Linked DNA regions of Struthio camelus. The protein of the gene in region 1 purifies or fractionates together with the protein of each later gene. This does not show direct contact. Links are inferred from orthologs where the notes say so. Each region holds a gene or a part of one and is shown on either strand. Other genes may lie near its edges.

Region 1 (8,189 bases):
AATCCAGGCAGCTTAGACCAGTAGGCCATTACTGCAGTCTTTCTGAGACCACACTTGCTTCTTCTGTGACTGGATTCACCTGTTTGCTTCATGATGAGGGTAATAGGGCATACGTCTAGGGCATTTTAGGGAAATGGTGACTTAAAAATGGTAATTACTAAGCAACCTTAACTTTGTGGATTGCTTCCAGCTTTGATTAGTCATTGTATACAAAAATCCATGTTAAAAAACTGGTAATGTTGCAAAGTCAAAATGTTGCCAATGCAAAATAACATTCCTTCCTCTGTCTTACTCAGTGCCTCCAACTCCAGAAAAACAAAGGAACATGGGAAATTCAAATCTGAATGTCTGAAGTTTGCCAAAATTCTGAGCAACCGAAAACAGACTTGTGATGGAAAATATCAAGCAACCTTAGCTAGAGGTTTCAGTACCAAGTATATTTGTAATATGTTTTTAGCATGAGCAATCAAAGTAGCAAAACATATAGAGACAGAGATCAACACTTCATTTTTAGAGGGGGCTGACTAAAAGAACAATCCCCCGTCTTCTGTATCTTCCCAGTTCCCCGCTACTAGGAGAGCTTCATGCAATAGGAGAGCTTTGGCTCACACAGTGTGGTTCTGGCTGCACAACTGTGCCATTCACCCTGCCCCCTTCTCCTCCCGGCAAAATAGCAGAATCTGGCCCAATATTCCATGACCAGCGCAGAGCAAAGTGTTTATGGCACATCAGATGCAGAGTCACGCTGGTATAAGAGCAGTTCTTACCTAGGTGGTTGTTAGAGTGACCAGATCCTCTGCTGAAACTAGTATGTTAGTCTCAAAAAAAGAAATATACATGGTCTGTTCAGTGGTTCTTGATCCCATTCTGATTGTATACTACCCAATTTTCCTTGTTTCCCTGCAAGTTTTTGTTTGCCATTTGTTCCAGGGGCATCTGCTCTCTATAGGAGCACCTACTTGGACATGACAGAAGTGGCTCATATCTCTTCTCCACAAGAAAAGGAGACCATTTCTGTATCATTTGCTTCCATGTCTGACACGAAAGCGAAGACACTTCCAGTGTGGTAAACAATGCATCTTTGTGAAAAGGAGAGGAGGGTAATGAAGAAGACAACAGTGAAAAAGGGTCTTTTAAACTGCCTTAGCTTGCCATGAGGACTTTTCAGAAATCTGGAAGTGGGGAAGAGCAAATTTTGAAAGTATCTGGGATAAAGTGCTCTGCAGCTTCGCGGTATTGGGGAATCCTTGAAAAATTCAGGCCATTTGTTTTGACTAGTGTTGAAGACAAAGTATTCTCACAAAAGTTAGTTAGACACTATAAAAATGTAGGATTGAAGAGACAGGCTCAGGGATAAGAACTGAATGCTGAGTGAAAGTTCGGACCAATTTCCTTCTAATTTTAAAGTAAAAGTTATATATCTGGGAATTTGATACCCTTCTTCCCTAAAATGATCTACAGCAAGATTCTCTGCATTACCAAAGAAAAATGAAAGGCAAGACTTGTCAGAAATCCTAGGATCTTCAAGGCTACTTGGCAGAAGCTGCTAGACCTCAACTCAGAATAATGGCAAGCGTCGGTATGATAGGGAGAGCTCGCATGATTGCTGAACAGGAGAATGCTCTGCAAGCAATGATGAGTCCATTCACTTTAGCTACAAATGGTCAAAACTGGGTTAGAGGAAGAGATGAAATGTACCTACAGAGTGTGAGGAACAGTATCACATTTATGGATACATCAGATGATGCCAATTGTACACAGATGCTGAAAGATATTTGCATGTTACTAGTTATATTTAACCTGACAAAGAAAATGGTTATTATAGTCAGGCTAGAGCAGCCTCAGCCAGAAGAACGGCAAAAATGAAGAAGAGTAAAACAGAAGTACATCTGTATCCCAGGACTCAAATGAAGCAATACACAGGCAGCATCACAACCTCCAGCATCTAAAACCATTAATACCTCTGCTTTGGTACTGAACACAAAAGGAGCTAACAGAAAAATAAGCTGGGACACCATAAACTTGACCTCTAAGATCACATTGTCTGCACCGCCAGCAAGTCATGGATATTATCCATTATCTGTGCCTTATGCCTTACGTAGTTAACATTAGCCCGTAAAGTCTGCTTTCTTTCTAAAGTGCTTTAATGTCCCTTCTCCCGCATTCTTGACTCCCACATTCAGCAACACTGAAATATTCTAGATGAGGGATTCCTAGCCTCCACTGGTGCCTGAGTAACACCACTGAACTAAGTACTGCATGGAAACAATGTCACACTTTGCTCTTCTGGTTACCTTGAAGAAACAGGTCTCTATGGAAAGTGAAAGTGAAGACAGACAGTGAGCTATGGTAAAAGTCCGGGGTCAGTAGCCAGGGCTAGTGGTAGCAGATGCATGGCTGAAAGTGCCAGAGGCAGAGTAGGCTATCTGCAATATGGAGGAAGATGGAGCAGGGCTCGCTCCTGGATCCCCAGACTGGGACATGAGCCTTCAATGAGGCCCCTTAGGCCAGGAATAAGGATCATGCATGAAACTACAGAAATAGTTTAAATAGAGGCCACACCACCATGTTACCATGGGGATATACAGCCCACTTTATCCAACTATCCTTAGATGGGTGTACAGAGGTGTATGGAGAATGCTTTGGTTGATTAGGATTTCCCTAACATAGGCACAGCATCAAAGTGGGGGAATACTGCAGGGATGTCTCCCCCCTCCCCCCCCCCCCCCAAAATGTGCTATGTTTTTCAGAGAGCTAACACAGATCAGGAAGTATGGAAGATTATATTGTAGAGATGGTGCTGTGATTTTTTTCCAAGCTAAGTGCTATAAACTCAGAAGATTCGGTTAAACTTGCTAAGTAATCAAGAAACAGTGAGGTAGGGCAACTTTGCAGTTTAAAGCAGCCAAACAGCTGGAACTCTGTCTTGTAGTGTTATGATCAATGCAAAACATTTAGAAGTCTCCCCTCGCCTTTTTTTAATCCATGTAATGTACTTGATTCTCACAAACACTAAAAACACCTCAATCATAATTTGTATTTAGCATGGAATTTTTACAGTGAAAATTAAGGTTTCTGCTGACTGATAAACTTTGAGTTACGAAGAAAAAATGAGTTGGAAGTGAGGTGGGAAAGGCATAGTATTAACGATAAAAATATGTTCAAGTGTGGTGTATAGAAAGATTTCAGCAAAGTAGCGGCTAATTGGGAAGCTTGGCACTTCTGTAGCTGAGATGCTATACGTGTTGCATAACTGGTAGTAAACAGCCCTCTCAAGATTGCAACCCTACCAGCAAGAGTGTTACAGAGTATGCACAGAGATAGCTCTAGTAACTCCCTTTATGGTGTCTTTGCCTGTGTAGTGCCTTTTAATATGCGATCAAACCACTAGGAGCGAGATTTTAAGAGGTGTACTTAGAATTCTGTAGTAACTATTTAGGGCTGGCCTGCTTAGCATGGGAATTTGGCATGGCTGTCCACATAGCTGCTATTAGAGAGGATTATGGCTGTCTGTGCAAAAGAGGTAATGAAAAGTCCTATGGGGGTCTGTGTGAGTTTGGCAGTACCGAGTGGATAGCATTATCATACGTACACAGAACATACTGTTATGCCATATCCATATGGAGGATAGATAGTATCTGTAGTATAGTAACACATAGCTCTTTCATACCACTTTTCCACTGTAGATCTGAAATAAATGATAGTGTCAGTGCAATTCAAGTAAAGGTATAGTATAGGTATGTACTGCATGTGTGTGTAACACGTGGTTGGAAGGGTGGTGGGATTTTCTATACATGTAAGAAGGTAAATAGTGCAATAGTATTTTGGAGTATACAGCCTAGTTTTTGCTAATAATGGAGGAAGGATGTGCAGAGGAGGGGTGGGTCGTACTATGGAATGCCTGCATATTTAGACAGCATTACAGGACTGTATTGAAATACGCATTGTTGAAGGGCATAGGAACGAAATGGTTGAGCTTGACAGTATTTCAGCACAAAGGTGCTTATCGTGAGGAGGAGGGCAGTCTGGTGGCTGTGCATGTGTGTAGTGAAGTATTTGCTAACATTATGGAAAATCCAGGCACACAGCAGAAGCAAATGGATAGTGTTACGGAATATCTATGTATACAGTGTACGTAGGGACATATTTTTGGTATGGTTTGCATGACAAAGTATAGATTGTATTACAGGATGGATGTTAGCAGTAAGGCCGCCGCTAATATATTGGGAATCTGTGTCTTACAGCAGCGGGCCAGTGCCACTGTGCGCAATGGGCATGTGTACCAAAAGAAGTGGGATGGCAGCGTAGAATGTTTTTATCTAAAGAGGGATGAGTATAATCTTTGACACCTGTGTATTTATTGGGTGAGACGGACAGTAGGGTGCATCTGCCTTTATTGAGATTAATAGTGTTAATAAAGATGCTAAATTGGGGATAGGTAATATTATGGCATGTGATTTTGTGTAATGAAAAATTAATGATATTGTTGCATGTGCATAATTGGGGTGTATTTATTTTTATGGACTATTCATGTCAATATAACGTGATGATTAGTTTGCTGGTGGAGGGCACTAGCAGGGAGCGGTGTGTTGCTCTATAAAACGGCTATGTCTCGAGCAGGAGGGAGGAACAGCACATATTGGAGGTTTTCTCTGTATCCCTGGGGTAGGAATAGTTTTAAAGGTACCGGCGTTTATGACAGGCGGATGCATTGTGTGTGTGGTCAGGAGGTGACAGGAGTCACTGTGGGATTGACACACAAGCTGCTGATGGTGGCTGGTGATTGCGCTGTAGAGCGCCGTGGACTACTGGTGGGTACCGCGAAGGGGCCCGCAGCGCTGTTGGGTGCACGCGACAGAGCGGAGAGTGCCAGCGTGCTATGGGGCACCGTGGGCCCGATTCTGGCAGGTGCGTGAAGGAGGAGGTGGAAACGCGATACAAACGCCATACGTGGCTCTCTCGGGATGCCTGCCTCTGCCTATGGAGAGAAGGGATGACCAGGCACCCAGGGGTGCGCGTGGGAAGGACCTCCTGGGTGCTGCAGAGCCGGGCGCCGGACAGGCAGAGGGAGCAGCGCTGCACCAGGGCAGGCGCGCAGCGAGCTCGGTGGGGCGCTCAGTAGTCCACTATCAAGGGTCGGGCGAGAAGCGTGAGCGTGGCGGCCACGGTTCCCGCGGACGGCGACGCCTGGCTTCGGCTCCCGCCCAGCACCAGCGAAGCCTGCCCTCCACGCTCAGGGGTGAGCGGGGCGGTGGGCGCAGGGGGCCCGCCGGGGCAGTGGCAGCCGGCACCAGGGTCCTGTTGCTGCCCCGGCGGCTGCCTCCGAGGGGGAGGGTGGTGCCCGCCGTGGGGCCTGTGGAGCCCGTGTGGCCGGGAGGCACGCAGGGGCCGGGCGGCGGTGCCAGAGCGCTACAGTGGCGCGGCTGGCCGGGCGCCCCGGGGCCGTTAGGGGCCGCGCGGAGGGGACGGGGCCCCGCGGCGGGAAAGGCCCCCGAGGGCGGCGGCGGCGGGCGGGGCGGGGCGGGGGCCGCGGGTGGGCTGGGGGCGGCGGCGGCGCGGTGGGGAGGGTGGCTGGGAGTATTATGGGATGTCTGGCTGGACGGTGGCTCCCGGCGACTATTATGGGATGCCTGCCTGAGCGCGGGGGGGTGGGGTGGGGGTGTGACTATTATGGGATGTGCGCCTGGGGTATGACTATTATGGGATGTGCTGGGGGTTATTGCAGTGTGCGGGAGGCGGGGGGGGGGCCGACCAGGGGACGTGCCTATTATGGGATGGCAGGCCGGGCAGCGGGGGCGCGGGGTGAGGGGGGCGCGCGCGGGGGGCTGGTAGGGGACGAGTATTATGGGATGCCTGAGTGAAGGGGTTAGAGTGTGGGGAGTATTATGGGATGTTTCTCGGAGGGACGGTTGTATTATGGGATGTTCCTGCTGGGAGGGGTTATTATTATGGGATGCCGGGCCGGGCAGTGAGTGGGAAGTTCTGAGGGGAGGGCGAGTATTATGGGATGTCTCAGTTGGGGGGGTTGCCAGGGAGACGGGGGCGGGGCCCGTTGCTGGGGTCCCGGGGCATATTATGGGATGGAGGCGGGAGTGGGGCGGGGCCTGGCTGGGTTTTTTCCCCTTTAAGAGGCGGTGCCGGGGCCGGAGCCATTTTCCCTTCAGCAGCGGCGGCGGCGGCGAGCGAGCGAGCAGAGCTGGGGTCTTGAGCCGGGTGAGGAGCTGGGAGGGGGCGGGTAGAGCTTTCCGCCGCTGCTTGGGGTGTCTCTGGCTGCGGGCGCCCCTACGCGCCGTGGGCCGCCAGACGCAGCTCCCTCGGGGCTGCGCTGTCCTCCTGCTCGGGCGACCGCAGGACCGCGGCGACACAGCACCGGCGAGCAGCCGCCCCGCCGGTGCCCGCTGCCCCGGCCGCTGCCAGCCGCTCGGCTCCCGGCCCGGCGCCCGTCCCTGGGGAGAAGCGGCCCCTCGCCGCATGCGAGCCGGACTTCCCCGGCCCCGCCCCGCGCCCCCGCCCGGGCGACCGTGCCCCGCCGCGACGCTGCCCCCCCTCCCCCCCCCCCCCGCCCGCCTGCCACCCCCGCCCTGCGCCGCGCAGCCCCGCTCCGGGCGGGGGCGCGGGAGCGGCGGGCAGCGGAGCGGGGCTGCCGGCGCCGCCGAGCCGGTCCTGCCTTTTGTGCGCGCCCGCGGCGCGCGATCGCCCCGGTGGCAGCGGGCTGCAGGGACCCGAGGAGGAGGGGGAGGCTGCTGCTCGCCTGCCTCTCCGGCCGTGGTGGCTGCAGCCCGGGGCTGGCGCGCCAAGTTTGTGCAGGCGAGTTGGGGACTCCCGGCAGCACTTGTTCCGCCGCTGTCCGCCGTACCGGTCCCGGGCTCAGCCCCGACCGCCGCGGTGGCTGTGTGGCTCGCTGACAGCGCCCTGATTCAAGGTCTCCTTTGGAAAATCCGCCTCCCCTTCTTGCCTCTCCTTCTCCCAGTCCAAAGTAGAAATAACCTAGGGCGCACGCATTCTGGTCTGGCCCCTGATTGCAGGGGAAAGGAAAATTTCCCATAGGCTAGCTGTTTTGGCTTCCTTGCAAGGGATGAGTCGCTGACTCAGTTTACTATCTAGTGTCTTCAGAGTCTACTTCATCACAACTTTAAGCTGATACCTGCTGCCAGTGTTTCTATTATCTGTAGGCTCCAAATCCAGTAAAGCTGCCGTCCAAGCTTTCTCACAGATCTCCTTGTTAGCACTATTGCTTGGGAAACAGGAGTTCAGGTGCACTATAACTTTCTCCTTTCCTTTTCAATAAAGTACTGGCTTGACTGGCAGGAAGACACCTTGTATGAGCCTGGGCCTCCACCAGTTTGGAGGACATGGCATCGGGCATTGGATCTCCATCCCCGTGCTCAGGGGGCAGTGATGATGATGACATGGAGATTCTGTTGAACAACGCTATCTCCCAGCATCAAGGTACAGAGCCTACGGGGCATGAGTGTGTGAACTGGGGAGATGCTATTTTCATGCTGAATATGTGAGAGAGATGAAGATGATGTGCAAGGCAATGTTGTACTTTGCTAGGAGTCATGCATGTGCTTTTTTTTTTTTTTTTCAGTATGTGAGTCCTAGCTAGGATTAGCTCAAAATGAGGCTCACAGCTTTTAGTCAGGTGGAGCTGACTTTGTTCCAAGCCATTGCAGGTTGTCAGGGGCCTGTGCTTTGAGGAGGTATAAGGGGGTGGAGGCAGAGGGGTGGATTCTGACAGGGCACTGAAATGCCTGCAAGTTTCATGTTTCATGAATGGGGAGGGGGAAGAGGGGCAGTATGTGAAAGGGCAGGGTGTCTGACTTTCTTTCATCTGGGAACTCAGACCTGCTGACGTCCAGAGCAAACTGCCCTGGGCTGTTGTGTGACCCACTTTCTTCACCACACCCAATTATTGAGATTTCTTGTGGCTCTTGGTCTGTGCTGCTTGCTCACCTTTGCTTTTCTTTGAGTTTTTGTACCTAGCTTTTTCCCTGGTGCTTGCATCCTCGTCATCAGCATAGAGGCTTGAGTTAGAGCTCTGGGTACCTTTCTTTTTTTGATATTGTTGCTGCCTTGCTCTGGACTTGTACTTGGATTCTGTAATTTGTTATAGAAAGAAGTAGTATATACCTGGGGAGTAAGACAGGTCTGAGTTTTCCTATTAAGACCTCCTGTACTGTTGTAGT
Region 2 (7,133 bases), on another chromosome or scaffold:
GGGCTTTGAGAAAAGCCCTTATGGGGCTGCAGTGCACCACAAGCACCCCTGTTTGCTCTAGGAAGCACTAAGGAACAGCCCTCTCATGCCACTAAGTCTAAGGGAGTAAGAGAAACCACTCGTATCAGACACACTTTCACAAATCACCTGCTGTTCGAAAATGCTTAAAGACACCTGAACACAAAACTTGTGACATGCGCAACGCTGACACTTCTATTCTGCTTTTTAAACAGTAATGACTGTACTGAAACATGCGGAGGGAGACCGATTAGTTTCCTTTACAGAGAGAAAGGACCCAAAACTCAGAAGCAGCAAGCGTAAGCCTGGACTACGGCTCGGGAAGCTGAACACGTAACTTAAACGCCGTCCTCGCCTGTCACGGGCTTCCTGTGCGGCCACGGGCAAGCCCCCTGCAGCGCGTCTACGCGGTATATCGCAGTGCCGCTTAAAAAAGGCGCTAGCTCAGGTTCTGGCAGCCGGATAGCGCAGCGCTGCTGTCTGCGCAGCTCCCGCAGCCGTGCTACTTCCAGAACATGACCTAGCTTGCTCAGCGATAGCTCTGATATTTTTGCACAGCGCTACACAGCCCTGGCCATTATCCGCCCAGGTCTCAGCTCCCTCACCTGCAATACGGGGATAACCTCCCGGCCCTGCTGCGGAGGGGTATCGCGCAGACAGGCACGTTCCCGGCTGGCGAGTCCCAGGCGTCGCAAAACGAGACAAGACGAGCGTTACGCCAAACTCTCCTAACAGTTGGGAGAGTTTTCTGCAGGGTGACGTGACGACACCCTGCGGGTGACGTGCCAGCACCGGGCGCGAGGCAGATGCGGCACGAGTAAACCCCCCTCGTCTCCATCCAGATGGGTAAACAAGGTGGCGAGGCACTGACGCGCGCTACGCCAAAGCGGCAAGGAGCCTCAACTTTGCGTTTCACTGCGACCACCGCAAAGAGACAATCCAAACCAGGCTTTACATTAAATGCAAAGTTCAGTATCATTTTGCCGAGTTCCCTGAGCACAGTTTCCCCATGCACACACAGAAAACCAGAATATTTTTATTTATTCATTAAAAAAGAGATCCCATAGCAATTGGAAGAAAGCAGCACGATACCAAAAGCACACCTCCAGTCTAACAGGATAAAATGACAGCTATTACAGGACTGTATTTTCTGTTCCAGCTTGAACAACTATAAAAGCTTTCCAATGCTGGAGAAGACCAGAACGGCAATCTGGACAGAAAACGATTCATAAATCCTGGAAACGTAAATGATTTGCCTGCCAATTTCAACGCGATGTTCCTCACTGCGAGACCTACACGTCCCAGAAGCCCTGCACGGAGGGCTCCTTCCTCGGCCTCGTTCGCGCCGCAACGAATCACAGCGCCGAGCAAAGGAACCACAGAGACGCATCGGCGGCGCCTGATGATCCAGGGTGAAAGAGAGCCTCTAAGTCATCACCCTTCCCACCCAGTTGCCGAGCAGTCTGAATCGCCCCGAATTTCCTCATCAGTTTTGTGCCCCGCAGCTTAGCTACTCGGTGTCTTTTCACTGGGTGAACTATCATTTTTAAGCTGTTCAAACACGTTCACACTAGAGCACTATGATTACCTTGTTGCCCACCATTTTTTTTTATTTAAGACACCAATCCTATACTACTAAATAATACAGAGATGACTACTTTCACACTAAGTTTTCCTCTTTACTAGGCATAGTGAAAGTTTCGACGTACCCTCCCCACGCAAAGTGGAGCGCAGTAACCATCCTGGGGAGACACAACGCTTCTCTAACCATACACCTCACTTTCCCTTCCCTGCCGCAGCCCTGATTTTATCTAAAACTGGCTAAATGCATCTGTCGGAAGCCTTTCAAAGCCGTATCTTGACAGGGAGGGATGGTAGGAGGGGACAAAGCGGAAACACCTTTGGGCAAGAAAGCACAGCCTCCTTTTACAGGAAGAGTGCACCCGACTGCAAAACTTCTAACTTCATTCATACAAAGATCCTAAATTGGACTTCAGCTCCTGCAGCACTAGCCAGTGATGAAGGGATGTTAAAGGTGCTTTAAAATTAGTATTTTGACATAAAGCATCAATTTATTATATCGCATTAACAGTACAATATTTTAAAATAATACATGTTTACTAGAAACTGTGTTTAACAAATATCAAGTTAGGACTGCAAGAGTGAAATATAGATAAACCTGCACTAAAATCCGGTTGGGCATTTTGCACTTGATTACTGTCCTCTTAGTGCAACTGACAGATATAAAAGTGACAAGCTAGAAAACAAATGTAATTTGTTAAGTCATCATTAAACTACATTCTACAGCAGAAGCCAGGTTCCGATTCCTCAGAAAAACGCAGGTGATGAGAAAGGCACGGGTTTTTAGAGACACTTGTGGTCGCTTGCTCCAGTGCGATTTTAAAGAAAGGATTTTTCAGCTCGGTATCCTTTCAGCAGTCCAAATACATGTTTTTCCTCTTCGATAGACAGTACGTGAGGTAGGTACCCTCTCCATTCATTGCAATGGATACAGGTGTTATTTTCACAAATAAGACTATAAAAACTCATTCTGAATTTGGGCCAGCAAAACCCAGAAAAGATATCAATTAGCAAAGTAAAGACAAAGCGCGCTCACGTTTTTAAAGTTGTACGAGCCCCGTGGTCAGTTATCTACAACCTTAGGAAAAACCCTCATGCAGTTTCTATTGATGTGCAACAGTCTGAAGAATTAGTAACGGGAGCGGAAACGCTAAATGCAAGTCTCTGACGAGTTTAAGGCGGAATACTGCGCAGAAAGGACACGCAAAAAAGGATGCCAGCTTGCTATTAAAACGTTTAAAAATTAATGCTTAAAAGAGAGCCAAGAGAAGTGAAGCTCTCAGATTCCCCTGTACCTGTACAGCACGCGGGAACGGATCCTCCTGCAAAGCGGCAGCGTGGGTAACTAAAGACGCAGCCGTTATTCCACGAGGCTCTTTCAAAAGCCATTCGGGAACCCGGAATAGCTCTGCGTGCTGCTGCAGAGCGGGCACCGGGGCAACTTAACGCGGGCAACCAGCTCGGCTGCATGTACGCGATGACGTGTCGGGGGGGAGGCAAGAGCGGAGAAACGGGGGCAAGAGAGCGAGGCGCGAAGTCAGCCCGGCAGCGCGTTTCTTGTTAAGAAACGAACCCAAAACGTCTCCCAGCGGCAAGTTTTCGGGAAAGTTGGCAGGGGCGGGCGGCGCGGGGCCGGCGGCGGCCGGAGCCGGCGGCCCCGGGAAGGGCCTGGAGGCCCCGCGCGGGCGGCGGCGGGTGGGGCGGAGCGGGGGGGGGGGCGGAGCCTGCGCGCGAGGCGGCCGGTACCGGCGGGAGCGCGGGGTGTTCCGGGGGCGGCGCCTCGGGGCGAGGCGGCCGCTACCGGGAGGGCAGCGCGCCGGAAAGGGAGGCGGGAGCTCCCGGTGGGGGCGGGCCGCCCGCGGACACCCCCCACCCCCCCCGCCCCGCCGCGCCGCAGGCCGGGACACCCCCCGCGCCAGGCGGGCCGGACCGGGCCGGGCCGAGGCGGGGCGGGGCGGGGCGCGCCCGCCGTGCGGCGCGGAGCTCCCCGGGGAGGCGCGCGGCGGGCACCGGCCCCCCCCCCCCGCCTTCCTCCTCCTCCTCCTCCTCCCGCGCGCGGCACCGGCGCCAGTCCCCGCCCCCTACGGATCGCCGGAGGGGGCCGGCACCGGCCCGCCCCCGCCCCCCGCCGCCTCTGTCACCCCCCCCCGCCCGCCCCTTACCTCGAAGCGGCCCCTGGCACCGGCCGGAGGCTCCCCCAGGGGGTAGGGGGCGGGGGCCCCGTTGGGCGGCCGCGGGGCCCCTGCGCCCGGCGGGCTCTGCCCGGCCCTGCGAGGGGGGTCCCCGCGCCCCTCCTGCTGCCGGCGGGGGCGGCGGCCGGCGGGCCGCGCCGGGCGGAGGCGGCGCCGGGCCCCGCGCGCGGCGGAGGGAGGCGGGCGCCGGCCGCGGCGGGGGAGGGGGGAGGGGAGGCGGGGGGGGGGTAAGATGGAGTAACCGTCTCTCGGCGGCCGCCGCGGAGCGCTGCCCGCTTCTCTGTTCCCCGGGAAATCCCGCCCCTCCCCGCGCAGGGGGGGGACCCCCGCCCGCCTATTGGGCGCGCCGCCCGTCCGTCGGCGCCGCGGCCAACCGCCGCCTCGCGCCCGCCCCCCTCGCCCGCCCCTATTGGCCGCGGCCCCCAGGAAGGGGATGTGGAGAGGAAGGGAGGGAGGAGGACGGCGAGAGGGGAGGGGAAGGGGGAGCGAACGCTGAAGAAAAATGTCCGTATAAGCAGCAGGCCACGCCCCCCGCCCGCCTCCGCAGGCGCCCGATTGGCGGCCGCCGCCGGCCGCCGGCCAACCAGCGCGCGGGGAGCGCGCCCGTGACGGCGGGGCGCCCTCCCCGCCCCCGGCGGCGGCGGCCCCGCCCCCGGCGGCGGTGGCCCCGCCCCCCTCTGGGGAGCCCTTTTGTGGAATGTTTACATCGGCGGCGGCTGCGCGGGCGGGGGGAGGGGAGCGGCACGGCGCGGTCCCCCCCCCCCCCCCGCCCGCACGTGCTCCCGCATCCCCCCCCGCACCCCGTCCCCAACCCCGCCGGGGCGGCAACAAGTGGCAGGCGCCGGCGGAGCGGCGGCCCGCTGCCCCGCGGCCGGCCCGCGCCGCCGATCTCCTCCGCCCCCCCCCACCCCCGCGGCCTTGTCCGCGCGCCAACGCCGGGGTTAAACAACGAGACCGGGCGCGGAGCGGGGGAAGTCCCCGGGCCACGCGAAGCCTGCGCCCGCCCCCTCCCCGCGGCTCCGCCCGCCGCGGCCCGCTGCCGAGCCGCTGGGAAGCGCCCACGGCACCGGAGCGCCGCCGCCGCGGCCCGCGGGGCGGGGGAGGGGGGGGCCCCCCAGGCGGGGCGGGGCGGCGCTGCCTTTTGTCCCCAAACCCCTCCCCACGCGCGCCGGGCCGCTTCACTTCCGGGATGGCAGCGCCCCACGTGGGGCGGATCGATTACACGTGGGGGGGGGAGGAGGGACGGACACACACACGCACGCACGCCCGCCCGGCCTCTCCGGGCAGGGCCGCGCGCGGGGGGGGCGTGGCCGCCGCCTCGGCGCCCGCCAATCGGCCGCAAGGAGAGGTGCCCTCCTCCCCTCCCCCGCCGCCGTCACCCAGGAGCTTGTCCCTATGGGGGCGGGGGAGGGGGACCTGCGCGCCGCCGGGCCCGCCGGGGGCGTGGCCGAGAGGGACAGCCAATGGGGGCGAGGGGCGGGGCCGGGGCGCTCATGGCCGCGCGCGCCGCGCGGGGGGGGGGTGGGGGGAATGGGGGCGGAGGCGCCGCACGCTCGGCGGCGGGCTGCCCCGGGCCGCGGCCTCCGCCACCCCCCCCTCACCCCTTCACCGGGGCCGCGGCCACGCTCCCTCCCTCCAACTGCTCCGGGAGCAGCGTGGGGCCGCGGGATCGTGGGAGGAGGCCGGGGGGGGGGGGCGAGGCCGGGCCGGTGGTGAGCGGGGGGGGGGATCAGCTGGGCGCCGCTGCCCGGCGCGAGGCGGCGCGGCCGTTGGCGCGGCCGTTGGGGCGGCCGTTGGGGCGCGGGCCCGCCCGCTCCCTTCGCGCCCAACAAGTTTTCCCGCGGCGCAGCCCGCCGGGGGCAGCCGCGTCCCGCCCGGCGGCGGCGGCGGTGGAGGGAGGGAGGGAGGGAGGGAGGGGGGGGAGCCGCGCCGCCCCCCTCGCCCCCTTCCTGGCGCCTCGCCGCCCGCCCCGGCCCCCGCCGCGGCGCACCGCCGCCGCCGCACCGCTGCCCCCCCCCTCCCGCCTCCCCCCGGGGGGGGAAGAAAAACCCGATATTTGGGGGACTAAATTGAAAGCAGCTGTTACATACCCTCAGCGCGCAGGCGAGCCGTCCTGAATGGACGGGAACTCCCCCCGGGGCCGATTGGCCCGGCGCTGCGGCTCGTCACGGCGGGCCCTCCCCGGGCCGCGGGCGGGCGGCGCCGCCCAGCGCCCAGCGCCCGCCCCCGGCCGCGGAGCGCGGCAGGCCGCGGCCCCTCCGCCCCCGGGCCGAGGGCAGCGGGGCGGCGCCGCCGCCCGCCCCAAGCCGCGTTTCTCGAGGCCTGGCAAGGCAGCGTGTCGCGGACCCCCCCCCCGCAGGCCTCGCTGCCCCCAAAGTTAGCTAAACTGGACACCCCCCACCCGGGGGGTTTAGAAAGGGCACCGGCTCGTTCCCCTCAGCACCGTCCCCGGCCCCCTTCCTCTCCCCGCGCTGCCGAGACGGAGGCGTCGCGGCCCCGGAGTCCTGCCCGCACCCCTCTCCCCCCCCCGGCCGTCCCCAGCACGCCCGAAATCCAGGCCCCGAGAGCCCTCGGGCCCGCGCGCCCCCGGCCGCCGCAGAAACACGTTGGGATCGACCAGATCCGAGTTTCTGCTGTGAACGTGATCGCGAGCGTCTTCATTCAACACAAACAGGAAAACAAGGTCAAACCTCTTGCGGTTTTTTTTCCCCCCTTCTTCTTCTCTCCTCTCCAGGTGCTCACCAAAACACTGCCTTTCCCCTTCTCAGCCCCAACTCGAGCTGCCAGAGAGCCCGGGCTGTCGGAGGGGCCGGGCCGTCCCGCCATCCGGAGAGCCGCCGCGCTAGCCGAGGACTCGGACGAGGCGGTGAGGGACTCCCGCCTCCCGCTCGGAGCTGCGATTTAGTTAAGCTGGTTGAAAGGTCTCCGGCCGGGGGATAAGGAGGGTACGTGAATCGCAGGGTGGGTCGACACGGGCTGCTCGGCTTTTTAGGGTCAAGTCTGAGGCTAGCAACGAGTTGAGAAATTAAGCGCTCCAAAGTCGGGCTGTTTCCAAACTCGGCGCTTGCCATCCCGGGCAAATGAACCGCAGATAGCAAGCGGGTTTGCAGGCAGCCAAGAAAACGAGCAAGCCAAGTAAGACAGGTGGGCGCGGGGACCGCATCGTCGCTTTGGGGCTTCCCTGCGCTGCCTTTAAGTCCCGTTTTCAGCCTTGACCAGCGCTTTGGGTTTCATCCTTTGGCTCGTTTCGTTTAAAACGAAAGGAGGCACTCCCCCCCCCCTCGGGGCTGCCCTGCCTCCCCTCCCCTCCCCTCCCGCGCCCCAGGGGAGCGCCGGCCCCGC
Region 3 (7,205 bases), on another chromosome or scaffold:
CCCTCCCCTCGACCCTCCTTCTCTTACCACCCCAAACACCCCCTCCCCTCGAGCCCCCTCCTCCTGGCGCCCCTAACGCCCCCTCCCCTCGACCCTCCTTCTCTTACCACCCCAAACGCCCCCTCCCCTCGAGCCCCCTCCTCCTGGCGCCCCTAACGCCCCCTTCCCTCGAGCCCCCTTCTCCTGGCGCCCCTAACGCCCCCTCCCCTCCAGCCCCCTCCTCCTGGCGCCCCTAACGCCCCCTCCCCTCGACCCTCCTTCTCTCACCACCCCAAACACCCCCTCCCCTCGAGCCCCCTTCTCCTGGCGCCCCTAACGCCCCCTCCCCTCGACCCTCCTTCTCTTACCACCCCAAACGCCCTCTCCCCTCGAGCCCCCTCCTCCTGGCGCCCCTAACACCCCCTCCCCTCGAGCCCCCTTCTCCTGGCGCCCCTAACGCCCCCTCCCCTCGAGCCCCCTCCTCCTGGCGCCCCTAACGCCCCCTCCCCTCGAGCCCCCTCCTCCTGGCGCCCCTAACGCCCCCTCCCCTCGAGCCCCCTCCTCCTGGCGCCCCTAACGCCCCCTCCCCTCGAGCCCCCTTCTCCTGGCGCCCCAAACGCCCCCTCCCCTCGAGCCCCCTCCTGGCGCCCCTAACGCCCCCTCCCCTCGAGCCCCCTCCTCCTGGCGCCCCTAACGCCCCCTCCCCTCGAGCCCCCTCCTCCTGGCGCCCCTAACGCCCCCTCCCCTCGAGCCCCCTACTCCTGGCGCCCCTAACGCCCCCTCCCCTCCAGCCCCCTCCTCCTGGCGCCCCTAACGCCCCCTCCCCTCCAGCCCCCTCCTCCTGGCGCCCCTAACGCCCCCTCCCCTCGAGCCCCCTCCTCCTGGCGCCCCTAACGCCCCCTCCCCTCGAGCCCCCTCCTCCTGGCGCCCCTAACGCCCCCTCCCCTCGACCCTCCTCCTCCTGGCGCCCCTAACGCCCCCTCCCCTCGAGCCCCCTCCTGGCGCCCCTAACGCCCTCTCCCCTCGAGCCCCCTCCTCCTGGCGCCCCTAACGCCCCCTCCCCTCGAGCCCCCTCCTCCTGGCGCCCCTAACGCCCCCTCCCCTCGACCCTCCTTCTCCTGGCGCCCCTAACGCCCTCTCCCCTCGAGCCCCCTCCTCCTGGCGCCCCTAACGCCCCCTCCCCTCGAGCCCCCTCCTCCTGGCGCCCCTAACGCCCCCTCCCCTCGAGCCCCCTCCTCCTGGCGCCCCTAACGCCCCCTCCCCTCCAGCCCCCTCCTCCTGGCGCCCCTAACGCCCCCTCCCCTCGAGCCCCCTCCTCCTGGCGCCCCTAACGCCCCCTCCCCTCGAGCCCCCTCCTCCTGGCGCCCCTAACGCCCCCTCCCCTCGAGCCCCCTCCTCCTGGCGCCCCTAACGCCCCCTCCCCTCGACCCTCCTTCTCCTGGCGCCCCTAACGCCCCCTCCCCTCGAGCCCCCTCCTCCTGGCGCCCCTAACGCCCCCTCCCCTCGACCCTCCTCCTCCTGGCGCCCCTAACGCCCCCTCCCCTCGACCCTCCTTCTCCTGGCGCCCCTAACGCCCCCTCCCCTCGAGCCCCCTCCTCCTGGCGCCCCTAACGCCCCCTCCCCTCGAGCCCCCTCCTCCTGGCGCCCCTAACGCCCCCTCCCCTCGACCCTCCTTCTCTCACCACCCCAAACACCCCCTCCCCTCGAGCCCCCTCCTCCTGGCGCCCCTAACGCCCCCTCCCCTCGACCCTCCTTCTCTTACCACCCCAAACGCCCCCTCCCCTCGAGCCCCCTCCTCCTGGCGCCCCTAACGCCCCCTTCCCTCGAGCCCCCTTCTCCTGGCGCCCCTAACGCCCCCTCCCCTCCAGCCCCCTCCTCCTGGCGCCCCTAACGCCCCCTCCCCTCGACCCTCCTTCTCCTGGTGCCCCTAACGCCCTCTCCCCTCGACCCTCCTTCTCCTGGTGCCCCTAACGCCCCCTCCCCTCCAGCCCCCTCCTCCTGGCGCCCCTAACGCCCCCTCCCCTCGACCCTCCTTCTCCTGGCGCCCCTAACGCCCCCTCCCCTCGACCCTCCTTCTCCTGGCGCCCCTAACGCCCCCTCCCCTCGAGCCCCCTCCTCCTGGCGCCCCTAACGCCCCCTCCCCTCGACCCTCCTCCTCCTGGCGCCCCTAACGCCCCCTCCCCTCGACCCTCCTTCTCCTGGCGCCCCTAACGCCCCCTCCCCTCCAGCCCCCTCCTCCTGGCGCCCCTAACGCCCCCTCCCCTCGAGCCCCCTCCTCCTGGCGCCCCTAACACCCCCTCCCCTCGAGCCCCCTCCTCCTGGCGCCCCTAACGCCCCCTCCCCTCGACCCTCCTTCTCTTACCACCCCAAACACCCCCTCCCCTCGAGCCCCCTTCTCCTGGCGCCCCTAACGCCCCCTCCCCTCGACCCTCCTTCTCTTACCACCCCAAACGCCCCTTCCCCTCGAGCCCCCTCCTCCTGGCGCCCCTAACACCCCCTCCCCTCGAGCCCCCTCCTCCTGGCGCCCCTAACGCCCCCTCCCCTCGACCCTCCTTCTCCTGGCGCCCCTAACACCCCCTCCCCTCGACCCTCCTTCTCCTGGCGCCCCTAACACCCCCTCCCCTCGACCCTCCTTCTCCTGGCGCCCCAAACGCCCCCTCCCCTCATCCCCTTCTCTTACCACCCCAAACGCCCCCTCCCCTCACCCCCTTCTCTTACCACCCCAAACGCCCCCTCCCCTCACCCCCTTCTCTTACCACCCCAAACGCCCCCTCCCCCTCACCCCCTTCTCTTACCACCCCAAACGCCCCCTCCACCCCCCCAATCCCCCAGCCCGCCCCCCCCCCCGCCGGGGCCTCCTCCGCGCCCCCCCCCCCCAGGCGCCCCCCGCCCGCCCCCGGCCCCGCTCACCTTGCACAGCCCCGCCAACGGTACCCGAGGGGAAGGGGCCTGCTGGGCGCGGCGGCGGGCGGGCAGGGCACGTCGGGTGGGCGCCGCGGGCCTGGCGGCTTCTCCGTCCGCCTCCGTCAAACAAAAGAGCCCAGCCAGCCCCAGTACCCGCCGCCCGCGCCGCGCCTGCGCCGCGCCGCCCGCCTGGCATCATGGGAGCTGTAGTCCTACGCCCGCCCCCGCCGCGGGGCGCCATGGGAGATGTAGTCCCGCCCGCCGCGGGGCGCCATGGGAGCTGTAGTCGGGCCCGCTGTGCCGCAGCCTCTCCGCCCCGAACGGCCTGCCTCTTCCGCCCGGCCTCTGTCCCGCCCCGCATAGATGCCAGAGAAACACCGGGGCGCAAGCCGCCCGCCCGCGACCCCCGCGCAGCACGCAAGGAGCCCTACACCCCCGCCCCGCGGCGCGGACTACAGCTCCCAGAGTGCCCCGCGCCGCGCCGGAAGGGGAAGCGCGCCGCCCTGGCTATAAGGCCGCCGCGCTGCCGCGCCTGCTTAAAGGGGCCGCTTCTGGCAGGAGGAGGTGAGGGGCCCCCGAGGGGTGGGGGGTGCGCGCTGACACCGGCGGGGTGTCCGGGCTGGGACGGATCCCCTGGGCTGGGGGGCGGCGGCGGCCCTAGGCCTGCCCGATGGCAGAGGGGCGCCGTGGCTGTCCCCTGGGGCTGTGCTGGGGCCGGGCGCCGGGGTGTGGGAGTGGGCCTGGAGGTGGCACTAGGGCAGAGTGATGCTGGGGGGGGGGCCTTGCCCTGCCAGCCCCCTGGGGTGGCACTGGGGCAGGATGGTGCGGGGGGGGGGCCTTGCCCTGCCAGCCCCCTGGGTGGCTCTGGGGCAGGGTGGTGCTTGGGGGGGGGGCCTTACCCTGCCAGCCCTGGTGCTGTCCTGGGGTTGGCACTGGATGTGGCTGCCGTGGGGCAGGGACTGACATTACCTGCCAAGGCTCCTCCTGCCGGGGGAGCTGCGCTGAGCCCAGGGCATGGAGGTAACTGCGTTGCTGCAGAACCGTCTCCTCCACGTGTAAAATGTGGAAAATAATGACTCTGACGCCGCTCCGAGGGGCTCGGAGCGGACAGAGCGCTGGCCCCGGCGCAGTGGGTGACAGCCAGGCCCCGCTTGCGCTGATGGCCCCGCCGAGCTCGGCAGCAGCTCTGCTGCGTCTCTGCCACATGAATACAGTGACGATAGCGTGGTTAAACTGGCCCTTGTATAGGCGCAGGTATGGCAGTTGGCTGTTTGGAGAAGTCTGGTTCCGTTTGGAAGTGATGAACTGGGGAAATCCTTCTTTGGGGTCTGTTTGAATGCGGAACCCGTTCCCCACTGGAAAGGAAAACAAATAATTTCAGAAAATCTCTCTGAGGTCTGTTTTCTGAATGGAAACCCAGTTCATTACTCTGGGTGTGACAAGTAAAAGCAGAAACAAGTTGGACTTGTTCCTATTTGGTTTTTCCCCCTTTCTGTGGAACTCTTCTGTGAAGCTTTCCTCAAAACTCAAAGCTAAAGTAGAAGTCACCTGGGGCCTGGGGTCCTGCTGTACCTGCTAAGGATGGAAGTGAAACCTTGGGCCACTGGCGGGCTGGCCTGGAGTCGTGCAGGGAGCGGCTCTGGCGGAGGGAGGGTCTCCTGCGGTCCCAGAAGGGATGCAGAGCTGCGTGTCAGGAGCTGGACTATGTGGTCATCGATGTGCGCTGGTAGGAAAGAGCATTCAATGCAGGTCCCGCTGGTAAGGAGGGTGACAGACTGCTAAGGATGTGTCTGAGTCAGCCAGGCAGATAAAAGATAACGAGTAAAAGAGAAAAACAAACGCTTTATCTGTAAGAAGTGCGTGTATGGGGCTGACTTGGCAGCGTGGAGTTGGACCACTTCTCCGTTCTGTTAAAAACAAGGTCTGTGTCACATCCTGGGCTGTGCTGACTGACTTTTTAATGGGTTAAGCACAGACTTGATCTGCCTGCAGAAGGACAGTGCAGAAACCCTTCCTCAGCGCTGCTAACCACATCACTCTGGAGTCACAAGCTGTCTTGAAATCAGGTTAAAAGTTATGAGGCTCCAAGAGCGCAGATGATGGGGTTTAAGTTTGGCTTCCAAGCCTCTTGTCCTTCCAGCCAGAAGACACTGGAAGTGTGAGCCCTGAAAACACTAAAATGCAAATTAGAGGAAGATTAAACCAAACCATGTATCCCAAGGCCCCTTAAACTGAGGCTTTAAGCAAAAGCTCTAAAAAGAGGATTTGGCATCACTGTTTAAAGCTAATTCAAAGCTGCCTTCTCCATTTGGTTTAAGTTGATTTATCAAGTTTAAGATAATTAGCTCTAAATAAAGCTTAAATGAGATTATGCGTTTCCTGATACACTGCTGAATGAAAGTACCAGTAAAAGATGGTACAAGACGTGAGCACTACTTCCCAGGTTATCTTTAAACAAATAACTAAGCCTTTGTGCTGTACCAGGCCCTCAAGCTGAATTCCAGTGTCCTGCTGCAACCTAGTCGTCCTAGCTCTGCCCGAGGCACCTGATCCGCGGCTGGTCTCGCCTCCCCAGGCTGCCAGGGTCGGTGAGCGCTGCTGCTCTCTGATTAACCCATCTCTGTTCTCCCTCAGCCTGCCTGCCTCTTTGCTGACTAGCGGAGAGCCGTCTCCCCCTCCTGGGTCTCTGCTCTTCGGAGCACCCTTTCAGCAGCTGGGAAATTAAATTTCTCTTCCTGGCAGCTCTCTGCTATTCCATTAGGCAATTTGTGAGTCTCTCTCTTTCCCCCCCCTGCCTCCTCCTGCATTTTTAATCTAAGCAGGGCTGTTACACAGAGCAAGGAGCTCTGAAAGCAACAGGACCGAGGCAGCATCTCTGGGGAGGCCGAGGAACATAATGGTCAAGTTGTGCTGCTGAGCTGGTTCTGGATGGGAGCCCCCAGCACGGGGGAGGAGCTGAGCTCCCCCCCCCCGCCCCCTGTTACTGCACTCAGCAAAGTGACTAATGTCACATTTGGCTCCTTCTCTCCCCTCCTTCCCTGGGGGAAGAATCATGTGCAGTGAAGTGTTGTGTTTTGGGTAGGTTCCCCTTGCCCTCCTCCTTGCAGCTCAAATTGGAAACAGCAGCAGCCTGACCGAGCTCCAGCAAGAGTTCAATTACTTGGAGATATCCAGAAGCTGCTTGCTGTCTATCCTGAAATGGTCTCTTGCTGTCTCCCGAAACTCTTCTCTGCTCTTTATTAACGCTTTCTGTGCTTTCCAGCATGAATTGGACGGCTGAGGTCTTTCAGAAAGGACCTACAAACCGGTGGAGCCAGATTTTTTTTTAAAAGGTGGTTTGTGGCTCACCCCTCCCCTTGTCCCAGCTAAAATTAGCTCCGTCTTCAGAAGGGCTTTGCTTCACATCTGAGCATATAAATAAAGGCTGTGTTTCCAGTGCTGCCTGGCACTTGGCAGCTCTCATGGCCTAAAAGGCAAGACTCCAGGAACCCGGAACAGGTGAAGGGTTGCTTTGCCTCAGTGACGAGGCAGCCGTGTCCCTCGGGAGCCTGGGCTGTGACAGGCAAAGTCCTGAGCTGCCGGTTCATCCCAGGGGCTCCAAAACATGTTGCAAACAACCCAGCCAGAGTAGGTGAAACCAGGACACTGAACGCACTTGGTCTTCCAGCTCCCCCTGATGAGCAGCCCTGGTCTGTGTGGTGTCCAGGAGGATGCACGCTGTCTCGGAGGGGTTTCACTGGCTGGACTGTGATGCATTTACTGGTGGCGGGGGGTTATCTGGCTGTCCCCCATCCCCAGAGCACTGGCACTCTGCTCGTGGTATGGTTGCAGAACAGGAATTACTGCAGGAGTGTGTAATGGAGCAGCAAATTGGCTGACACCATCCCACAGGACCCAGGAATACCAGAGGGATGTGGCAAAGGAAGTGGTTTGTGCGATGGGAACGTGCAAACAGCTCGCAACATAGCTGAGCCAGGAAAGCTTCGTAGCCGACAGCCCAGGGGTTCGCTGGGCAGGTTCACAGGTCTCTGTGGGCTTTGCAAGTGCTGCCTGGCTCCCCCCTTTCCTGCTGGGAGAAGAGTAGGGGGTGAAGGAGGAGCGCAAGTGAGAGTGGTCACAATGCAGACACACAATCTAACTGCATGGGGAAACTGCACTGAATGTGTTGCTTATTCAGGTGAATTGTGAGAGTTGAAGAGAAACAGCCTATCAGTATCTGGTGCTAATGGGAGACTTACTGTGGTGGCAGCTGGAGAACTGGTCTCTGCAGGTGAAAAGCAGGTTTCCTCTGGCAGCCCAGGAGCGCTGGGTCTCATGGACAA

What was found. The genes of interacting proteins can lie anywhere in the genome.
Region 2: the proteins of CHD4 (region 1) and SIN3A purify together in Homo sapiens (affinity purification with mass spectrometry; 3 studies listed by BioGRID, with this or other methods). This does not show direct contact. The link is inferred for Struthio camelus from reciprocal best matches to the Homo sapiens genes CHD4 and SIN3A.
Region 3: the proteins of CHD4 (region 1) and CBX1 purify together in Homo sapiens (affinity purification with mass spectrometry; 7 studies listed by BioGRID and IntAct, with this or other methods). This does not show direct contact. The link is inferred for Struthio camelus from reciprocal best matches to the Homo sapiens genes CHD4 and CBX1.

The regions. Positions count from the first base shown.
Region 1 is NC_090942.1:90,895,254-90,903,442, forward strand, and holds the start of CHD4 (chromodomain-helicase-DNA-binding protein 4), read left to right. Parts: upstream 1-4,970; 5' UTR 4,971-5,239; intron 5,240-6,129; 5' UTR 6,130-6,213; intron 6,214-7,290; 5' UTR 7,291-7,352; coding exon 7,353-7,449; intron 7,450-8,189. UniProt on the Homo sapiens protein: ATP-dependent chromatin-remodeling factor that binds and distorts nucleosomal DNA. Acts as a component of the histone deacetylase NuRD complex which participates in the remodeling of chromatin.
Region 2 is NC_090953.1:23,130,715-23,137,847, reverse strand, and holds the start of SIN3A (paired amphipathic helix protein Sin3a), read right to left. Parts: upstream 3,085-7,133; 5' UTR 3,070-3,084; coding exon 2,895-3,069; intron 1-2,894. UniProt on the Homo sapiens protein: Acts as a transcriptional repressor. Corepressor for REST. Interacts with MXI1 to repress MYC responsive genes and antagonize MYC oncogenic activities. Also interacts with MXD1-MAX heterodimers to repress transcription by tethering SIN3A to DNA.
Region 3 is NC_090966.1:5,724,226-5,731,430, reverse strand, and holds the start of CBX1 (chromobox protein homolog 1), read right to left. Parts: upstream 3,085-7,205; 5' UTR 2,890-3,084; intron 1-2,889. UniProt on the Homo sapiens protein: Component of heterochromatin. Recognizes and binds histone H3 tails methylated at 'Lys-9', leading to epigenetic repression. Interaction with lamin B receptor (LBR) can contribute to the association of the heterochromatin with the inner nuclear membrane.